Linked DNA regions of Arabidopsis thaliana. The protein of the gene in region 2 binds, or shares a complex with, the protein of the main gene of each other region. Each region holds a gene or a part of one and is shown on either strand. Other genes may lie near its edges. A codon is read from its position in the direction of its gene.

Region 1 (8,546 bases), on a different chromosome or scaffold from region 2:
ATCTCATCAGCTTCTGAGGTATGCGACAAATGTGCTCAGACACAATCTAATATAATGCATAGTACTCAAGGTACGATGTGTCGTTGTGTTTGAGTTAACTTTTTTTTTGGTTTGGTTGGTGGTTTTGTTAAAAGTAAAAAAGCCAAATTGGTCTACTAGGCTTAGCGTGAAAAGTATTGTTATAAAGTTATAGAGTTTGTTAGCTTTTACTTTTACCAATTTTATCAGCTTTTTTACTATTATTATATGGTTAAATTAATACTGTATCTTTCCACCTTTTTTTTGGCTTATGAGTGAGTACTCATCCTTAAAAAACTTGAGTAAGTTTATATTTTTCTCTTTTGTTAAAAGAGTAATGCTTATATTCGATGTGTACTTTGTAAAAACCCTACAAGATTTTAAGGATGGTCCAAATTTGAAATAGTACACGTCTAAAATAATTAACAACATAATTGAAAGGTGGGAGAGGCATGTGGGAGTGTGAGTGCTTTCATTAAAGACAGTCTACTTTATTTAAGTTTTGATATGATCTACTGTTATGGAGAACACTCTTCTTCGGCTACTAAAAGCTGCACTAGCTGTCTCTGGATATCGACAACATACTTATCTTATCTATTGCCGTTTCATTTCTATAATAGTTAGTTTTGCCATGCTCGATTAATCTAGATTTTACATATTAGTTTTGGCATAGTAGTGTTACTTATACTCCTTTTCTAATAATACATTTGAAATTTGAATATCACATTGTTTATACTTCTAGTATCTATCCTCTTTAATTTTTCTGGTTAAATATACCTGCCCCCTTATACTTTAATGTGTAAACATGCTACAAAATCATCTCATTCACATTGTTAGAGAATGGTACGATATGAAACGTGTATAAGTCTCTGTAACCGCTTAAACTTGTCGCTATCTTCTTCCGTGGGAATGCGAACTCAAGCAAATTCCCCAAGAAAAGTCATCTTTGCTCTTCACATACACCGACACCTACTACCACCAGTGCTTATAATATTCTATAATTTTCAACATTGTTGTTTATAATTTGGTATAAGAAAGTAATATGTTTTTTTTGACAGAAAATATATGCTTAGAGGGGTTTTCTATAAGGTCTTATTAGAATATGATGACAACATTTTAACGTCTTTTTTTTTCTCTATCTGGGTGAAGACTACCTTTGCGACGAGTGAGAGAGGAGGTAGCTAGCGATAAAGTAATTTTTTTTTTTTTTTTTCAAGTACTTAGCAATCAAAATGTGCTACCTAGCAAATTATCACTATTTTTTAGTAATGTTTAATATTTGCATACAAACCCTCTTATGGGCTTCTCGACGATGCTAGGAATCTGATTTGGGCCTAATGTTAGATTAGCCCGTTTGTGTTTCATATAGGGTTTCTGAGCAGCCTAACTATTGGGCTGCACGCTTGAGGTTTGAGTAATTCTACTAACCAAGTGTTAATTAGCTATAGACATGAGAGACAATAGGTAAATAATAAACTGGAGGCCCTTTAATATGTGTACATACGATAACGATGACTATATTATACAGTGTTAGTCCTACAAAATTCAAAACTTATTTCTATGTTTTGGGACAACATGCTTAGGAATAAATGATTTTTTTTTTTCTTTTTCTTAAACCGCTTAATATTTTTTCTTTCATCCAGTTTTTAGTTGTTGAATCTTATATTTGATTTCATGTTAATGCAATATGAATCGTTATAGTTTATGGATCTGTTAACGATAAATTTAATAATCTATGTTTCTTTTTAGAGTTCTATCTAGGTCTATATTCCCAACATCTTAATATACCAAATAGTACATATGTAGAATCAAAAAAACAATCTAATATAGAATCGTATAAACTTAATAGTGACAAAATCTTATTAAAATTGAATCTTACCAAATTCTTATTTTTCTTCTTTAATATGTCAACTACAAATTTCTACATATATTTGTTTTTCAGGATTTTATCCTTTATACTCATTTTTATTTTATTTTTCATATGCTTCATGTGAGTCTGGTTGATAAAAAAGCAAATAATACTCACAAAATATATAAAAATCGGATATGAAAGCAAATAATGAGCTAACCTGAGTTTATAATCTAAAGTAAAATCCGAAATAAAGGGAAAAAATCGCAATACTGGATTTCCTTGATTTTTGTATTCCATTTTTCTATAAAAAAATTCCATAAAAGAGAAAGAGAAATAAAAATAAATGAAGAAACACATCTCGTCAAATAGACGACCAACTAATAAATTGCCGTACACCAAATATTAAATACATCCCATTTTTTTATTTAAAGATTATATATATATCTTTTTAACGGCGCTTGAGGACTCTCCTATTTTTCTTTACTTTTTTTTTTCTTTAGTTTTCTGTAAACTGTTAAGATTGAGAGAGAGCGAACAAAAAAAAAAAAAAGAGAGAGCGGAGAGAAGAAAAAAAACCCTAGCGTGTTGTTCAGTGACTTTGGGGGGAAAATTTCTCGTAGTTTCTTCGCTAAATCCGTCTTCTCATCTCTTTCCATTTGTGGAATTCAATGGAAGCTTTAGGTTTTTGGTGCTGAGAATTCTCTGTTTTCGAATCTAGGGTTTGTAGAGGAGATCTATTCAATTGTAGATACGCAAGAGCGAAACGAGTCAGAAAACTAGGAGAAGGAGTCATGTCGGATTCTGATAAAGAGCTCGAGAATCAGATTATTGAAGCTGGGGAAAAGCTTATTGACCCGCCTTCTTCACTCGATGAGCTTCTCTCTTTCCTTGACGTGAGCTCTCATCTCCTTCACCACCCCCTTTTGTTTCTTTCTCTTTTATTTTGGTCTTCTTCTTCGGATTCGTGGCAATGCTAAGTCTGTGCATGTGTTTACTCTCGATTTCTGGATTTAATGCTCTGTTTCCTTCGTCTCTTTTACTCTCTGAATCTACTCAAATGCTTTTATTCCTGCATTTTAGATCTTAGTTACGGTTGTTTCTCGGTTTGGGATAAAAATCCCTGTGGTTTTGGAGTTAGTGAGTTTGATTGATGATCCTTGTGCTTTATTTCTGCAGAAACTTTTCGTATCCCTGGCGGAGGTTGAACAGTCACCTCCCGACTCAATGCAGAATGCACTCACTCCATTGATGAAAGGATTAGTCGGTGGAAAACTCTTCAAGCATTCAGATGTCGATGTCAAAGTTGCTGTCGCTGCCTGCATCAGTGAGATTACAAGAATAACTGCTCCTGATGCTCCTTATGATGATGACCAGATGAAGGTATGTAGTTGTTTGTTATTTTTTTCTTGAGGGAGTGGACATTATGCTGGTTGGTTACTGACTCTTTTCTTCTATTCATGTGCAGGAAGTATTCAAGTTGATTGTATCATCATTTGAAGATCTGGTTGACAAATCTAGTCGTTCCTATGCTAAAAGGATATCTATCCTTGAAACTGTGGCTAAGGTCAGGTCATGTGTTGTGATGTTGGATCTTGAGTGTGATGCACTTCTTATTGAGATGTTCCAGCATTTCCTCAAGGCTATAAGGTACACTCTAATATATCCATTATGCTAGAATTAAACTCATTGTTTTTTCATCTTGTAATGTAATGTCCAGGAAATACACATACATGGAATTGTCTACTTGTTTATTTCCCTGTTGTTCCTTTATTTCCTTGTGTCATGTTTGATTAATGGATGTTGTTGTTCTCATTTGATATCATTTCATTCATGTCGTTCTACCTATCCATGGACTATGCTACTTTACTTTATGTACTCGCAATATAGTTCACAACTAGTCTATTGCTTGTTGCTTATGTTTGCTTGTACAACATCCAATAAGTATGTTTGTCTGATGTTGAACTTGTTTACCCTTTCAGGGACCATCATTCAGGGAATGTATTTTCATCTATGGAGAACATAATGACCCTTGTTTTAGAAGAAAGCGAGGATATACCTTCAGAGATGCTTTCACCAATCCTACATTCTGTTAAAAAGGATGATGAGGTAATACATGGATGGTCTACTGATTTTCTATCACCAACCAATGCTCTTTTGTTAAATCTTTTAACTTATCAACAGATTTCCCAAGTATCACGGAGGTTGGCAGAACAAGTTCTCAGTAACTGTGCTAGCAAGCTCAAAACTTATCTGACCGAAGCAGTGAAATCGTCGGGTGTCCCTCTAGATAAGTATAGTAACATAGTGGCTTCGATATGTGAAGGGACATTCAGTGCTTTGCAGCAAGACCAAGTTGTTGCAAATGAAAAAGAAGTAAGCCTTTATTTCTCACCTTTTTTACTGCCGCACTGCCTCAACTTTTTTAGTGATTATGCAGGTCTTCAGTTACATTAGCTCTTATACTGTTCTTCCATATTTTTCCTCTCCAGGATAGTCAAGGTCATATAAAAAGGGAAACGGAAGTAGAGGTACGATAGTCATTGTTGATTTGTATGAAAAGGATAGATGCCTTTCTTCTTTTAGCTTTTGTAGATTGTTAATTGATTTTTATGTTCCAATTAAAACATGATAAACAGAAGGCAGCAGAAATTTCTACCCCTGAGCGAACTGATGCACCTAAGGATGAATCTGGTAAGTCTGGAGTTAGCAATGGTGTCGCGCAACAGAATGATTCTTCGGTTGATACTGATTCCATGAAGAAGCAAGACGATACGGGTGCCAAAGATGAGCCGCAGCAACTTGATAATCCTAGAAACACTGACTTGAATAATACTACTGAAGAGAAGCCTGATGTTGAACATCAAATTGAGGAAAAGGAAAACGAATCTAGTTCTGTCAAACAGGCGGATTTATCAAAAGATTCAGATATCAAAGAAGAGACTGAACCTGCAGAACTCCTGGACAGCAAGGATGTGTTAACTTCGCCTCCTGTTGATTCATCTGTTACCGCAGCCACCTCTTCTGAAAATGAAAAGAATAAAAGTGTGCAGATTTTACCATCTAAGACATCAGGAGATGAAACTGCCAATGTCAGTTCTCCGTCAATGGCTGAGGAACTTCCTGAGCAAAGCGTCCCTAAGAAGACTGCAAACCAGAAGAAAAAGGAGAGCTCGACAGAGGAGGTCAAACCTTCTGCTTCTATTGCTACCGAAGAAGTTTCTGAAGAACCAAACACGTCTGAACCTCAGGTGACAAAAAAGTCTGGAAAGAAGGTTGCTTCGTCAAGTAAAACAAAGCCTACTGTTCCTCCTTCAAAGAAAAGCACCTCTGAGACAAAAGTAGCCAAGCAGTCAGAGAAAAAGGTAGTTGGGAGTGATAATGCACAAGAATCCACAAAGCCAAAAGAGGAAAAGAAAAAACCAGGACGTGGGAAAGCCATTGATGAGGAGTCATTACACACTTCATCTGGTGATAATGAAAAAGTGAGTAGTTCCCTGACCTGAATTGATTCGAATACATATCTGACTTCCCTGTCCTTGTCCTCTTACCGATATGGTTTAATTTTATTTTCAGCCAGCTGTTTCCTCCGGAAAGCTAGCCTCAAAATCAAAGAAAGAAGCGAAGCAAACGGTAGAAGAAAGTCCTAATTCAAACACAAAGAGAAAACGAAGTTTAGGCCAAGGGAAGGTATGTTTTCTTCACTTCACCAATTGCCATTTGCAGTAGTAATTGTGCATGGGAGCAGCTTCTTATTCTCTTCAAGTTGAAGAAATATTCTCTGAAACGATTATCCTTTAATTGTACTGGTTTCCTTTGCTCTGTACGAGTTTTTCTTTTTGTATACTTTTTCATACCGAATCAATTCTTGGGCAGGCATCTGGTGAAAGTTTAGTTGGATCGAGGATCAAAGTCTGGTGGCCTATGGATCAAGCGTAAGCATTTTGTATTTTCTTCTTAGGAATTATATTTGATTTACAAGAAGGCAATTTGCATTTTCTCTGTTCTGGACTTCTATGTTTGTTCCTTTAGACAGCAGAATCTGGACTACCTGTTATTGTAATTTTTTGTTTTCTATGCTTTCAAATGAGTAATCTGTTTTTTACCGCAGGTACTATAAAGGTGTGGTCGAGTCATATGATGCTGCAAAGAAGAAACATCTGGTAAGCCCAATTTTATCCGTCTCCCCTATTTTGGTTCGCCTGATTTGTTTGTGGTCAACCAGTAGCCTTTTGAATGTTCTCCTAAGCTATACATCTTTGTTTCAGGCCTTTTTATGGTATTTTAATTGTTGTATGCTGTTGCCATGTTCGTTTGCAGGTTATCTATGATGATGGAGATCAAGAAATCTTGTATCTCAAGAATCAGAAGTGGAGTCCTCTGGATGAATCAGAATTGTCACAGGTGGGGCATTATATTTCATCCATCTCTGGCTTTTTTTGCTCTTCGCCTATTTTGTAACTTACACTTTCTGTCATCAGGATGAAGAAGCTGCTGATCAGACGGGTCAAGAGGAAGATGCCTCTACAGTGTACGTGTTACTTCTTTAGTTCCGTTGTTTATGTGGCACTGGAAGGAATAGCTAGATGTCATCTTTTTACTTGTGATGACCAAGCTTAGCATTTTGTCATGCAGGCCCCTGACGAAGAAAGCTAAGACAGGCAAGCAATCAAAGATGGACAACTCATCAGCTAAAAAGTAATTGAAACTGAAAGCAAATAGTTAACAAGTGTTGAAGTCTCTAAAATAATTCTCTACTAATACGTAATATTGTACTTCTGATGTATTCAGGGGTAGTGGAGCTGGATCAAGCAAGGCTAAAGCTACTCCTGCTTCCAAGTCCAGCAAGACGTCCCAGGATGACAAAACAGCGAGCAAATCGAAGGATTCAAAGGAAGCTAGCAGAGAAGAGGAGGCGAGCTCTGAGGAGGAGAGCGAGGAAGAGGAACCCCCCAAAACCGTTGGTAAATCAGGAAGCAGCAGGTCGAAGAAAGATATAAGCAGCGTATCGAAATCTGGGAAATCTAAAGCTTCATCCAAGAAAAAGGAAGAGCCCTCCAAGGCAACAACTTCTTCAAAATCCAAGTCGGGACCTGTGAAATCTGTACCTGCCAAAAGCAAGACAGGAAAGGGTAAAGCAAAATCTGGTTCTGCGTCTACACCTGCTTCGAAGGCCAAAGAGAGCGCTTCCGAGTCAGAATCTGAAGAGACACCCAAGGAGCCAGAACCAGCAACTAAAGCGAAATCAGGCAAGTCACAGGGGAGTCAATCAAAGTCCGGTAAGAAGAGGAAGCGATGAGTGTCTGGGCTTGTGCTCTTTTCTCTTTTGAATTATGATGGTTTATGTAATTTAAGGTGGAAAGCGATAAGCGTGTGGTGGGTAATGGTGGCCGTGAAATTGAACATCGTCTTGAGCAGTAGAAGTGTAGAATTGTTTTAAAGACAAACGTCTAGTAGTGATGCTTTTTTATTTACTTAGGTTTTGATTTCAGATGTAGTTTGTGTTAAGGTGGATACATAAGGAGGTTGCTTTGGTTATTTTCATTTCATTTTATTTTTTGACCCACGTTTTTCTGTCATCTATCTCTCCCTCTCTTTGGAGTGTTGCAGAGAAAATTTGGGCAGAAAAAAAAAGAAAAGGGAAACACATTCCGACGATTATTAGCCTGTTATCTTCCTAAATCATCATTTGAATTTGACTCGAGTGTTTATGTTGAGTTATGGATTTGTGCTGCTATTCGTAACCCTGGTTTGGGAACATTAGACAAGAAAATAGTTTGAATGCTTTCTAATGTGTATGTATATCCACCAGTACTGGGTAAATCGGCAGGTTCTCTAGTAACTTCAAAAAAATTGCTATTTTTTGAAAATGTTACTGTACCAAAAACTTTAAAATATGGGGCAAAGTGAAACTCGTTGTGACTGGGAGTTGTGTAGTCTTGTATACTCAGAGATTTTCCTATCTTATCTTTGTAATTTAATACTATGATTTGTTTCTAGATGAAACAAAGACTTTTCTTACGAATATATGTGTGGTTTACGAAATGCTCGGAGATTCCTAAAAGGATACCCAATGTTTGCTTCCCATATTTAAGGAATATTCCATTTACATTAGCCATACGTAGGATTTAAAACTTTTAATTTATCAACAAGCCTTGCAATGAAGGACCTTAGGCCAGTAGATCTGAGGTCTTAGATGGGGTTTTATAGTATTTTTTTGCGCATAAAGTTGCAAGTTATACATTATTTCTTTCATTTTTTCAGGAAAAGAAAAAGTAACAAACTAATAGTAAGAGATGTTTAATTAAAACAAGATCTAGAGACATTAACAAACGGAAAAGAAACATTATTGTTATGCGTATAAAAAAATAGATGTAATACATTGGTGAATGGGATAACATGTGGTCCATGATCCCATACTCTCTCTCATTTCTCACTTTTCATAGGCCCAGATGAAATATGGGTAAAATGTAAACACACGATTCGTTTATTAAAAACCTAATTAGAAAAATGATTTTTTGCGTTCTGTGAACTGGTTTTATCCAACATAAATATATTTTAAGAACTCTTTTGATTTGTATTAAGGTAGACTACTAGACTCCGAGCAACTATCTTTTTTTTTTTTTTTAATATAGATGATCTGCTTCGTTTTTTCGGTTATGAAGATAACCAGACATTT
Region 2 (4,110 bases):
AAGCCAGAGCTTCAAAATTACCAGATCGATCTCAAAGATTGTGGTCCAATGGTATTAGATGCTTTGATTAAGATCAAAAACGAAATGGATCCATCTCTTACTTTCCGTAGATCATGCCGTGAAGGGATCTGTGGTTCATGTGCTATGAACATTGATGGATGTAACGGACTTGCTTGTTTGACAAAGATTCAAGATGAAGCATCGGAGACGACGATTACACCGTTGCCTCATATGTTTGTGATTAAGGATTTGGTTGTTGATATGACTAATTTTTATAATCAGTATAAGAGTATTGAGCCGTGGTTGAAGAGGAAGACTCCAGCGTCTGTTCCTGCTAAGGAGATTTTGCAGAGTAAGAAGGATAGAGCTAAGCTTGATGGGATGTATGAATGTATTCTTTGTGCTTGTTGTAGCACATCTTGTCCTAGTTACTGGTGGAATCCTGAGTCTTACCTTGGTCCAGCTGCTTTGCTACACGCTAATAGGTAAGTGGGGGAAATGATAGTGTTTGATGATTGTTTCGAGAATTTGCTTGTTGATAATGGATATAGAAGTTGGATTTGTTTGGAGGGATTGGTTGCAAAATTGTAGGACTAGGAAGCTTTAAGCTGCATTGATCCATATATGTTGTTTATTCAAGTCTATTTTGCTGTCTTGGTAAGTGAAAAAAAGATTGTTTGAAGGATTGGTATGTTGAAAATGGATATAGAAGTTGGCTTTTTGGGGAATTGAATTCCAATTGTAGGACTAGGAAACGATTTATCTTGTAGTCTGATTTTGGAGTTTGCATGGATGGTTGGGAAGATTTTGTATATCTTGTTGTTTAGCTGCATTGATTCTCATTCAAGTCTATTTTGATGGAAAGTGGTTGCAAATTGTAGAACTAGGAACCCTTCACTCTTGGAATTTGCTTTCAGAATTTGCATGGATGGTTGGGAAGATTCTCATATATTGTTGTTAGCTGCATTGATTTCACTTATGTGGTTCTTCACTACTGTATTACTGTCTGAATTGTTGTTTTGGTTTAGGAAGCTGATCTATATATGGGGCATTCAATAGAAATTTGACCTTTCGATGTGTTTGTAACAAGAGACTTGTTGGTATGTGTAGGTGGATAAGCGACAGTCGTGATGAGTACACTAAGGAAAGACTTGAGGCTATTGACGACGAGTTCAAGCTTTACCGTTGCCATACAATCTTGAATTGTGCTCGTGCCTGTCCAAAGGGTTTGAACCCAGGAAAACAGATTACTCACATCAAGCAACTTCAGCGTTGAAACAGCTAAGTTTGTGTGCGGGATCCGTTGGGAAACTCATCAGTCTTAACGTTTGAAGCTAATAATCTTCACAAAACCTCTTCGGATTTTCAATTCATTCTTGTATTGTTGTTGCCAAATATTAGCGCCTTAAAAAAACTCGTTTGCAAGTCTTCCCAAGTAGATGAGCTTTGTGGTTGTATCTTGCTGAAAATCTCCTCTTTAAGTAATAAAACTCGAGTAAACTTAAACCTCATCTACTTATCATCTACTCTTTTGTGTTCCCTCTGCATTGGCCTATGATAAAATCATTTCATGTACTTGTGTCTCTGCCTTCTGTACACATGAACACAACGTGATGTATTATCAATCATAGCTTAATCATAGAAAAGTATCAATCATAACTTCCTTGACATTTATGATTGACTGCGTAAGTATAACTGCAAGTACTGATCACACAACAAACAAGAAAGATGACACCGGCAACACTAGCTATATTCTTTGTCTCTTTGGTTACTATTGGAACAGCAACCGATGTTGCTCCAGCAACTAAACAACAGTTTGAGTTCTTTCCGAGCTTGCGGGAGCATCAGAAGTCTCTATTTGTTACTGTGGAAGGTACCATAGCTTCGAATACTAGTTCTAGAAAGTAAAAACAACGATAATGTTTTTTAACTGTGGAAGGTACCATTGCTTTTTGTTGTTGTTCTTCACGTGCAGGCTGCAACAACCATTGCCTAACAGCTTGCTGTGACTGCAACATAGAAAAACAGCCTCCCGTTTGTGTTCAGTGTTGCCCGATTTGAGCCTTGAACTCCTTATGTTCATGTATGTTTGAAGACTAGAGACAATGTAGAAGATTTAAAACACAATTCAGGATGTCAAACTTGTGAAACAGAGGAAGCTTATGTGATATTTTATAAGTAAAAAAAACAGATATCACAAATAGAGAGAGATCAGAGTTTGTATTGTAAAAGCCTACAAATTTTCGCAATCTGTTGATGGAATAAATTCATTGAACAGATCGTAATATCAAAGATGAAAACACTTCTGTCTCACTCAGAGTCTTTGGATCACAAACACCGTTACACATCGCAATAATTAACACGTCATCATAAATATCCCACGTGTAGAATCCTCGACAACTGAAAGAATCACTCTGATTGGTTACTTAACATACGACGCAGATAGCAAAGATAAAAACAATCTTGACCGTTTAGAGGAAAACACATCTAACGGACCAAATTCTCTCTTCTTTGAGTATAAAAAAGCATCCCAACCTCACTCTGTATATACCAATCAAACACGACAGTCTCAACAATCAAAAGCTTCAAATTTTTCATTGTCAAGAATTCTCAAAATGGCTAGAACAAAGCAAACAGCTAGAAAATCCACCGGAGGAAAAGCTCCTAGAAAGCAACTGGCGACGAAAGCAGCAAGGAAATCAGCTCCAGCCACCGGAGGAGTGAAGAAGCCACACAGATTCCGTCCAGGAACAGTAGCGTTACGTGAAATCAGAAAGTATCAAAAAAGCACAGAGCTTTTGATCCGTAAGCTTCCTTTCCAGAGATTGGTTCGTGAGATAGCTCAAGATTTCAAGACGGATCTTAGGTTTCAGAGTAGTGCAGTCGCAGCTCTTCAAGAAGCAGCTGAAGCTTATTTGGTTGGATTGTTTGAAGATACTAATCTTTGTGCTATTCATGCTAAGAGGGTTACGATTATGCCTAAGGATATTCAACTTGCGAGGAGGATTAGAGGTGAGAGGGCTTAAGATTTGAAGAAGATGAAGAAGAAAAACAATGGTCTAGTGTAGATTTGCTTGTTTGCTCTCATAAGATTTGTAGATTCATGTTTTAGATTTGGTTTTGAGTTTTCTTAGTCTTTTGTTCTGAAGTGTCTTCCAGATGTTCGATGAAATGCCCAAATGAAAATTTAATCTACTTTTGCAACTTTCTAAGAATCAGTCTTCAGTTTAACTTATTAGATTTGCAATTGAAGTTGTCATTTTGGTTGTAACTTATTTGTATATTGTTACATCTGTATTCAGGTCTTAGTGACTTGTGTCAAAATGGTTCTAATTTATTGACCAAAGCAGGGTTAATCATTTTATTTTCCTGCAGCATAATCTTCTCTCTGTTATCAAAGTCCTCTTTCAGTGGTGAGAATTATGTGTTATTTTATCGATTAATTCATCACAATAAGTTTAAGAAATTACCAATGTACTGTTGGTCAGTGGTAAATTTTTTAGGTGGAGGTGCTGAGTTCGAGGTGGAAGGTATCTCTTTTCCAAAAGAGTTGAATTTAACCTGATGTAGAGAAGATATATGATTTTTAGATTTGAACTTTCAGATATTAAAAAAAAAAAAGGTTTAAGAAATTGAATCAAAGTTTTTTTAAATTGTGAGTACTAAGTATAAACAATAATGTAACCTCAAATTCTAAATTCATATATGTTCTGTTTTTTTTTTCTTTTCTGTAATGGCAAAGATAAAGAAGTCTTCAATTATTTAAGACCTGCACGTTATCTATAACAACAACTCATTGACTTAACCCACAAACTACTCTTGTTGTTGGATGTTACGTTTTGACTCCATTAAAGCTCTTCTTGGCTTATATATCATTCAAGCTAACTTCCAAATTCGAAAAATCTCTCTCTCTCTTTCATTCTTTCTTTAATATTCGACGGTTGAGATGAGACGACAAGGTCGGCAACATGGTCTTGTCAGAACTTACCGGATTCTTCCACCACCGCTTAACACAAGACCGGTCAACTCTTTGACTTCACCTCAACCTTCTGAGTTATTAACCACATTGCCATCAAAACCAAACAAAGCTCACCGGAAAGTGTGGCCTGG
Region 3 (8,119 bases), 5.1 Mb from region 2:
CATGGTCTGCTCCATCTGCCATACTATCAGTAGGTCTTGGATGGGGTGCACAGGTAAACTTCATCTTTTCCATTCAAGACATGCATGTTAGAGTTAAAGATGCGTTTTCAATAGCCACATAAGAAGATTTGTACTCTTTTTGTCAGATTGGAGGTGAGTTGATGGACTTCATAATAGTGCTTCATGATGTGAAAGCCGTGAAGACATTCTGCAGCAGAATGCACTTCTCTCTAGGCGCGGGATGCAGTGCAGCAGCAGGGCCTATCGGGAGAGTGTTGGAGGCTGACCTTCGAGCTGGTGACAAAGGCTCTGGTGTCTGCTATACTTACAGCCGCAGCAAAGGTTTTCCCCATCTCAACTTCATGCCTTAAGTTTTCTCTTTATCTATAATTTGGCCAGACTCGTAGCTCAATAATACAGAGGAAGTTGAAATGTAAATCTATAACCTGAGAGAAGTTGTTGTGTTGTGTGAACAGGGGCATTTGTGGGAGTATCTCTAGAAGGAAATCTGGTGGCAACAAGAAGGGACATGAATGTAAAGTTCTATGGTGATCCATACCTATCCACATCGGACATTCTACTTGGGATGGTGGATCAACCCAAGGCAGCTGAACCGTTGTACACCGCCCTCCGAGAGCTCTATGCTCGTTTGCGCCCGTAATCTCCATTCACATTACAAACTACGCTTTGTATATATACGCTTCTCAAATTCGTTTCTATTAAAGTGTAAATGTACATAAATTGTTTCTCTCTAGAACCAAACAGTTGCTTCCCCAAACTGTGTGAACGATTTGGGATTTACTTATTTTATCAAAGCTTGTTTACCTTTTTGAAGCTTGTTTATCAAAGCTTGGTTCTATTTGCATGTCTATTCATTTGTTACAGATAAAATGATATTGGCAAGTCCCTTAAATATGATGCAAAATCTATAACGTTCACTATTTTTACATTCTCCGATTCATTATAAAGATAATGGAAAGAAAAAAAACCTTGCATTGCAAAAAAACTCGTGAAACATTAGAGGAATCAATCAATCATTTGGTTCCAAGGCAAAAGTACAACAAAAGAAGAAACATGAACCTAAGGTACAAAGCTAAGGTACAAGCAAGCCACCGTTGGAGGTCTTCTGAGACTTCTTCCTGTAATTTGAGACACTACAATTTGGGCACACATATTCCAACCCATCTGTTTTTGCATAGTCCTGTATATATCATATGTTGCATCAGTACACATATTATTCATTGATGCTTATTACGAGTTTACGATGTGTTCGTTTAGTTACCTTGAAGGCGCCGAGGCCAGGCCTTCTGTCACATCCGAAATGAGCCCACTCTCCACATGATCCACAGTTCACCCAGTCACCAGCTGTGCTACTGTTTCAACCAAACCAAACCAAAGCGCGTTAACAAACAAGGCGTTATTAACCGTGTACACAAGAGAGAGAGAGGGTTCTTAATGTACCTGCGACATATTAAACAGCACTCTCCATCTACATCATCATGAGCATACTCATACTCCAATAGATACGTCTCATAGTGTCTTTTCAGGGTATTACCCACACCCTGCCATAATAACCCCAGAGCTGATGATCAGATATACATTCTCTGATTTTTCAAGAATAAATCAAGTGGTGAGACAAGAAAACAAAATCATTTACAGTCATTCTGTTTGTGAGTGTGTGGTTGCGCATCTTTGAGAAAACTTGTCCCTTCCAGTTGATCCCATTACCTACATGGAACCCTCCCCGTGATACAACCTGCAACAACTCTCATTATTAGCTCACCAAATGTAATGCTGGCTGCCTTGGTTGAACAAAATCAAATCATTGCTTAACTACCTCTCTATACAAGTTGAAGAGATCAAGCCGTTTTGAGTTGAGAACAGCATCTGGAAACTCCGCTAGTCCCCCTGGAGGAACTAGCCGGGTATGTCCTCGTATTAGCAGAAACTGCATTACATCCCTCAGAAACTCCTCCTACATATATAGAGATAGCAATGTTAAGAGGAGTTTATAAGTTCAAACTATTCATCACAAGAAAAACAATGCAAACCTCTGAGCAAACTTGAATATGCGCTCTTCCACAGTCGTGTTTTTTTAAAGGTAGAGGGTTTAGTGAGATGATTTGCTTTCTCTGGTACGAACCAGAGAAAGCTTTACGGTGAGTTACTGGAGTGCCACCTGATGCACCATGCTTTGGAGGCATAGGCAAGCTTCCTTTGGTGTGGTCACCATCAAATCTTCCAATTTCAGAGTAACCAGAGAAAGGTATCATCTTATGTCGACGGGTGTGAGGTATTGGTCTCAAAGCAGCCACGTTGATTTTCCTTGATGTAGGTCCTCCGTTTTCAATTTCCTGAATATAAATATTGTCACAGCATCCAATCAGTATATACATGAAGACTGATGAACATTTGGCAGAAGTATGGCCACAAAACTTATCCCTGATTAGAGTTGAAATCATAGAGTCTAGCTCATGAACAAAGAATAATTCCAAATTAACATTTTGTATAGAGAGAAAGTTTCAACCTGCGATATCCGAAACAGTACCTTACTTTCTCTGCATGGCTCGGATCTTTTTCTGGTTGGCAAAGGAGGTGTTAACCAGTTAGGAATTTTGGATAAAAGAGCATCATGATTTGAAGTATCATTGATCTGTTGTCCGCAGAAGAAAAGTAAACGTTCTGCATCATCTTTCTCAAAGGAAGCAACAGACAACCCCTGAATGCTAGCTACTCCAAGAACGACTAAACTGCGGTATGACACATCCGGCGCCAACTGTCTTAAAACCTGTCGAAAGCAAAATAACCTTTTCTTAGTCACGCATTAGCAAGTGGAAACTCATGAAACGCAAAAAATCCTGAGAACCCAAAGAGAATGTAAATCACATGACTATCTGGATGTAATCACTTAAAATGCACAAGTATCATGAATAAAGAGTGAAAGCAATAAAGCACGAAAAATGGTCCTTGGACATCCCAAAGCTTGAGTTAAACGTTAAGAAACATGAAAAGCCTTTATTTCTACCCGTTACAATTTCATAACAAACTTTTCATCTGAAACTCTTGTGACTACTTTGGCTGACTAAATTGTTGAGAAACTTGGAAACAAGGTGCATGAGATAAATAATTGGGCTAAAGATTACTATCTACAACAAATATAAGTCGAGGAAAGAAAGAGATTATTAACCTGCAGAGCCCATGTTGGGACTTGCATCGAAACTTCACACACACTTGCTCCACAAGCTATTGAGGCAGATCTACGAGGCTCAGAGAAACCCCGCTTTGTTTCTTCTGAGTTCACCACTGAATGGACTAGTTGGATCTTCTCAACGACCTCATGTTTTATGTGATTTTCCAAAAGCTGATATTTACATAGGAGATTAATAATAAATCCCATTGCACATGTATGCAGAGATAAGCTATATTTCAAAAGATATAATCCCTTGCCTGATCACTGAAACAGGTCTGCGCATTTCCAGACACAAGCATTGATATGTGTGCTGAAGAACAGGTCGAGACATCACAACGCATGGTCACTACACCACGAGTAAATGTTCCTGCTTGAAGAGGAGGTGCTGGAGCACTGCAGTTTCAATTTTGATCAGCAAAAAAATGAAAAGTAACCAAGTACGTCTTAAAACTAAGTCAAAAGGCACAAAACCATAGATGATTAATCTTAAGGTTATTCGAGGGATGCGCAACATATCATTTGGCTATAGAAATTACATACCTAGAACGGTTATGGAGCTTACTTCCTCGCATCTGGAACAATATAAAAAAATAACGTTCTTTTAAAAGGACTAAAAGAAGACATATACAATTAAGTCCATCCATACATTTTAGTATGCGCACTAATGAAGAAATATCAAAACTGTAAACTACCAACTACTCACTTCTATTCGCAAGAGAGCATTAAGTCCATCCATCAAAGATCCCAGTAAAAATGTATCCTGAAATAGAGAAAAAGCTTTGTAACTGAAGATAGCATAAAGAAATACTAACATCTGCACAAACAAGCCAGTATCATAAAATGCGCGAGAAGGTCAACAACACCCACCACTGTGCATGGTGGTCCACACAAAAGAAACCTCACAGTAACATCTTCATCATATATCTTTATTGATGGGAGGCTCTCTAATGAATTTTCCTCTTCTAGTTCATCAGCTTCCGGTGAAACCACATCAATCTTTGGAGGTTCTCCAAGCAAGCAAGGTCCCATCTCATAATTCATTTTACGGTTGCTGTTAGAAGGAAGGACAGCATTGTCACTTGTACAATAGAGTCGGAAAGATGCTTCTGCAACATGGAACACATCCCATGTATCGCTGCACGAACTGCATTGCCAAAGAGCATATCACTGTCAAATAAATTTGTAGACTAGGGGAAAAAACTATATAAAATATAGATGTAAATCAGACTAAAATTAAGGCTTGTCGCTATGTCAGATGCTCGAGTAAACAATTACCTCTGTATGACTGAAAACAGAGAATGGCGAAAATGGCAGGCTGCATATTTCGAGAAAACATTTTTCCAATAAATAACATATTGAACACCCTGCAAAAGAAAATCACCATTAGGTGAAATAGAGCAACAAAGAGGTAATAAGAAGAAAAGTGAAAGGTGCTTATCAAGAGTGGTGTACCTTAGAGTAGAGTGCTTGAGCTAATTCTTCACCATTTGGGAGCTCAAGGTAAACCTGTGAAAACAATATGATGCCAAAACATATTAATATCTCACTAGGTATGGAAAATGTTTTAACATTCATGTAGAGGATACTCTATGGAGCCTTTTAAGCACATTGTCAAGAGACTAACAGCGATTTATTAAGAAAATCTTAGTGGCATGAGGCATCAACGTAAAAGGAAATCCTTAACTAAAAACGAGAAACGTAAAACAACGAATGATGCACCTACCGTTGTCGGTAATGTGGAACCAAACAGAGTAACCAAGGCATCAGGAGTAGAAAAATCAGTATATCCCAACACTAAGGGACCAACTTCATCACTATCTCCACTATGTTCCCCTTGCAAGTACACAAAATCCGTTGCTGAAGAGTTAACAGCAACCTGGAACTCCTCCGGCGTAGGATTATTCAGTACCTGAAACTACAACATGAAAAAAGCATACACCAAATGCTTTAACATCTCCATTAAGAAATCACTTAGAACCAAGATTCTCCCATCAAGTCTACCAATTTCTAAAGGCCTCAAGCAACACAACCTATAGCAACAACTCTCACCAGCTAACAATTCCCAAACTTAGTTCAACATTGTCTAAACTTACTAAAGGTTCCAACTTTCAACCAACAATCTAGCAAATCAATTACGAGAATTAGAAAAGTGTTTTTACCTTGAGACGCCCTGAAGAAGAGAGATCTGGAAAAGGGTATTTGGGTTGATGAGAAGTTCCATCTATCTGGTTATTAGTATCGCAAAGCTCTGCTCCAGAAACAACTGCCACAACATTACAACGGTTTCTCGAAAACCCTTGTCCATGAAACATCGTTCAATAGCATAACCAAACTTCTAATCTCTCTATGAAACTAGACCACAAAGAAAACCCTAAAGAAATTCAACGAATAAGTTCGTTAAGAACCCACTACTCGACCTCAAAATCAGCCCTAAGAAGAAGAAAAAAACCCTAATTTCGAACTCGTAGGAAGAAATCGACGGTACCCAGAAAAGAAGAAGACGAATTTTATTGGAAAAAGAGAAACCTAAACAGAGAGAAGAGGCCCATCACAAAAGATCACAAACACAAAAGATTAAAATTTAGAAAAAATCTGAAGAACAACAATAAACAAATTGATGAATCTTTTCTTTTAAGAAGCTATAATAATAATAATACTCTACAGTGTTTATCTTTGTAACACTAAAATCAAAGCAAAATTGTTAATCAAAAGGTAAGAGAAATTTAACTAAAAAACCAAACAGAGGAATTAATTAACAACAACAACTAAAAATGTTGTTGTGTTTGGTTTTTTTTTGTGTTTTTTTTTGTTTTGTTTCACATCTTTTAATCGTGTTTTAATTCAAAGCTTCGTTTAACTCTTTAGGAGCTAAAACCAACGAACATCATCATGAGGATGTAAGAGACTTTTAAGAAGATATGTTCATTTTACTTGGAACTTCCAAGTTCTACACTTTGATCATCGTCTGTCTCTTGTCCAGATAGAGCGAGTATAGACATCCTCTTCCCTACACTTGTTATTTGACCGCAACCGCAAGACTTTTACCATGCTGGTCGGTCAAACTTATTTTTGATAATTGTATTACAAAGTAAGCCTGGGCGGTCTGATATTCGAATCGGATTCAGATCAAGATATTTGGGTTTGGATATTTTAGATTTAGAATTCTAAGATCTGTTCGGGTATTGAAAGATTTCGGGTTTAGATCGGGTTTGGATCGGGTTCAGACCAAGTTTTTCGGGTTTGAATTCAAGTTTATCCGGAATATCCAAAATTTAAGATTTATATCAAAATATATTCAAATTACTTGAAAATACACAAAATTTCTAAAAAAAACGTTAGTATTTTTTATCCAAATCTATCGAAAATAGGTAAAGTATCCAAAAATATATAAAATATTTTAAAATCTAAATGTTTAATGTTTATGCACTTAAGTTGTTGTATATGTAATTATTACTAATTAGTCATTTCTAGGTATATATATTTTGGATATATTTGGATACTTGATCGGATTTAGATTCAAATCGGTTTCGGGTTTTGAAGTTTAAAATCCGTTTGGGTATTCTAAAATTTCGGATTCGAGTTTGGATCACGTTTTTCGGATCGGATTCGATTCAGTTCTTTAGATTCGGGTTTTTTGCCTAGGCATATAAAGCTTGGATATATTTGTGAAAAATCATTTTTCCATCTTTCTGTTACATATCGTGAAGTACTGGAGTGTTACTTTCCTGGGTCGTATATATTTGACATTTCTCATTGACTTTGAGCCATCCTAGCTGAATGTACGCATTGTGCTGCTTTTTATTAGCCGCCTTGTGTTGTTGTCATTGGTAAAAGCTACACTAACAATATGTATATTCTATCTTAGTGTAAAACATTGTCATTACCTATGTTCTATACTAAAACAAAGAATATACATATTGTGATTGTTGTTATCTATACATGGGACTTAATCTCACATGTGTTACTATCTATGAGTTTGTTGGAGCGTATTGAAAAATCGATGTGATCGACTATATCAAAATTATGTAAATAATGAAAATCTAGACGATCATGATATCTTATAATTTCTTAGTTTAAAGTATTTACATTTTTCTTATCTTAATTTAAATATATATATATATATATATATATATATATATATATATATTGATGTATATTATAACATTATTTTTATGAGTATAATACTAATTTTGTTAAATAGTTTATGTGTTTACTCATCAATTTATAAATTTGGGCCTCGTGTGAGATCTATAGATAAACATATTGTAATTCTTTGCTGGATGAAAGCATAAAACTTTACGTTAAGTCGTTATGTATAAATAAAAGTTGAAAATTACAAAATAAACGTGTTATTTGTTTTGCCTTTTTCTATAAGTCGGCCAAGCAAAAAAAAGAAGAAACATAGCAACTTCATCTTCGGCTATATAAAGAGAATGTCTCATAACTTTTAAGGATCATCCAAACAAAAAATACAAGAGAGAAGAAGAGACAGAGCAATAGAGATATATCAAGAGAGAAGTTAGATTCGCTTCTCTTCTTTTTTTGGTAAACGTTTGATTCTTCTTCTTTGTATGCTCTGAAGTTATGGGAGAACGCAAAAACCTAAACAAGTATTATCCGCCAGATTTTGATCCGAAGAAGATACACCGCATCAAGAAACCGAAGAACCAGCAGAAAAAGATTAGATTTATGCTTCCAGTTCGTGTTCGCTGCAACACATGTGGTAATTACATGTCGGAAGGCACCAAATTCAATTGCCGTCAAGAAGACGTCATCACCGAGACGTACCTAGGTCTAAAAATCCACAGGTTCTACATCAAGTGCACCAAATGCTTAGCAGAGTTGACAATCAAAACCGATCCAAAGAACCATAGTTATACTGTAGAATCAGGTGCAAGTTGCCTTTATAATGGCCATGAGGACATTGAG

What was found.
Region 1: the proteins of AT3G27360 (region 2) and AT4G31880 are in contact, whole or in part, in a crystal structure (PDB 7DE9), measured with the Arabidopsis thaliana proteins. Residues at the interface, in NP_189372.1 of Arabidopsis thaliana: Ala2 (codon at 2,619), Arg3 (codon at 2,622), Thr4 (codon at 2,625), Lys5 (codon at 2,628), Gln6 (codon at 2,631); in NP_194916.2 of Arabidopsis thaliana: Val615 (codon at 5,780), Trp616 (codon at 5,783), Trp617 (codon at 5,786), Pro618 (codon at 5,789), Met619 (codon at 5,792), Asp620 (codon at 5,795), Tyr624 (codon at 5,983), Tyr642 (codon at 6,194), Asp644 (codon at 6,200), Asp646 (codon at 6,206), Glu648 (codon at 6,212), Leu650 (codon at 6,218), Gln655 (codon at 6,233).
Region 3: the proteins of AT3G27360 (region 2) and AT3G43240 are in contact, whole or in part, in a crystal structure (PDB 6LQE), measured with the Arabidopsis thaliana proteins. Residues at the interface, in NP_189372.1 of Arabidopsis thaliana: Ala2 (codon at 2,619), Arg3 (codon at 2,622), Thr4 (codon at 2,625), Lys5 (codon at 2,628), Gln6 (codon at 2,631), Thr7 (codon at 2,634), Ala8 (codon at 2,637), Arg9 (codon at 2,640); in NP_189910.2 of Arabidopsis thaliana: Glu675 (codon at 1,484), Ser683 (codon at 1,372), Thr684 (codon at 1,369), Ala685 (codon at 1,366), Gly686 (codon at 1,363), Asp687 (codon at 1,360), Trp688 (codon at 1,357), Val689 (codon at 1,354), Asn690 (codon at 1,351), Trp697 (codon at 1,330), Phe711 (codon at 1,288), Tyr714 (codon at 1,198), Ala715 (codon at 1,195), Gly719 (codon at 1,183), Leu720 (codon at 1,180), Glu721 (codon at 1,177), Tyr722 (codon at 1,174).

The regions. Positions count from the first base shown.
Region 1 is NC_003075.7:15,418,055-15,426,600, reverse strand, and holds AT4G31880 (transcriptional regulator), read left to right. Parts: upstream 1-2,289; 5' UTR 2,290-2,661; coding exon 2,662-2,763; intron 2,764-3,046; coding exon 3,047-3,250; intron 3,251-3,335; coding exon 3,336-3,517; intron 3,518-3,849; coding exon 3,850-3,976; intron 3,977-4,051; coding exon 4,052-4,243; intron 4,244-4,359; coding exon 4,360-4,398; intron 4,399-4,506; coding exon 4,507-5,352; intron 5,353-5,443; coding exon 5,444-5,557; intron 5,558-5,743; coding exon 5,744-5,802; intron 5,803-5,978; coding exon 5,979-6,030; intron 6,031-6,187; coding exon 6,188-6,271; intron 6,272-6,348; coding exon 6,349-6,398; intron 6,399-6,502; coding exon 6,503-6,565; intron 6,566-6,658; coding exon 6,659-7,166; 3' UTR 7,167-7,654; downstream 7,655-8,546. UniProt on the Arabidopsis thaliana protein: Cohesin cofactor dispensable during the meiotic division but playing an important role in DNA repair by homologous recombination (HR) probably by helping SMC5/SMC6 complex.
Region 2 is NC_003074.8:10,128,375-10,132,484, reverse strand, and holds AT3G27360 (Histone superfamily protein), read left to right. Parts: upstream 1-2,547; 5' UTR 2,548-2,615; coding exon 2,616-3,026; 3' UTR 3,027-3,380; downstream 3,381-4,110. Other genes in the region: SDH2-1 (succinate dehydrogenase 2-1), read left to right, coding at 1-485, 1,111-1,276; AT3G27355 (Hop-interacting protein), read left to right, coding at 3,947-4,110. UniProt on the Arabidopsis thaliana protein: Core component of nucleosome. Nucleosomes wrap and compact DNA into chromatin, limiting DNA accessibility to the cellular machineries which require DNA as a template.
Region 3 is NC_003074.8:15,208,939-15,217,057, forward strand, and holds AT3G43240 (ARID/BRIGHT DNA-binding domain-containing protein), read right to left. Parts: upstream 6,010-8,119; 5' UTR 5,503-6,009; coding exon 5,350-5,502; intron 5,106-5,349; coding exon 4,914-5,105; intron 4,697-4,913; coding exon 4,643-4,696; intron 4,555-4,642; coding exon 4,466-4,554; intron 4,335-4,465; coding exon 4,058-4,334; intron 3,951-4,057; coding exon 3,894-3,950; intron 3,763-3,893; coding exon 3,731-3,762; intron 3,584-3,730; coding exon 3,448-3,583; intron 3,362-3,447; coding exon 3,188-3,361; intron 2,789-3,187; coding exon 2,549-2,788; intron 2,355-2,548; coding exon 2,052-2,354; intron 1,976-2,051; coding exon 1,838-1,975; intron 1,757-1,837; coding exon 1,658-1,756; intron 1,563-1,657; coding exon 1,462-1,562; intron 1,374-1,461; coding exon 1,283-1,373; intron 1,202-1,282; coding exon 1,094-1,201; 3' UTR 893-1,093; downstream 1-892. Other genes in the region: AT3G43230 (RING/FYVE/PHD-type zinc finger family protein), read left to right, coding at 1-53, 147-342, 477-661; AT3G43250 (coiled-coil protein (DUF572)), read left to right, coding at 7,775-8,119.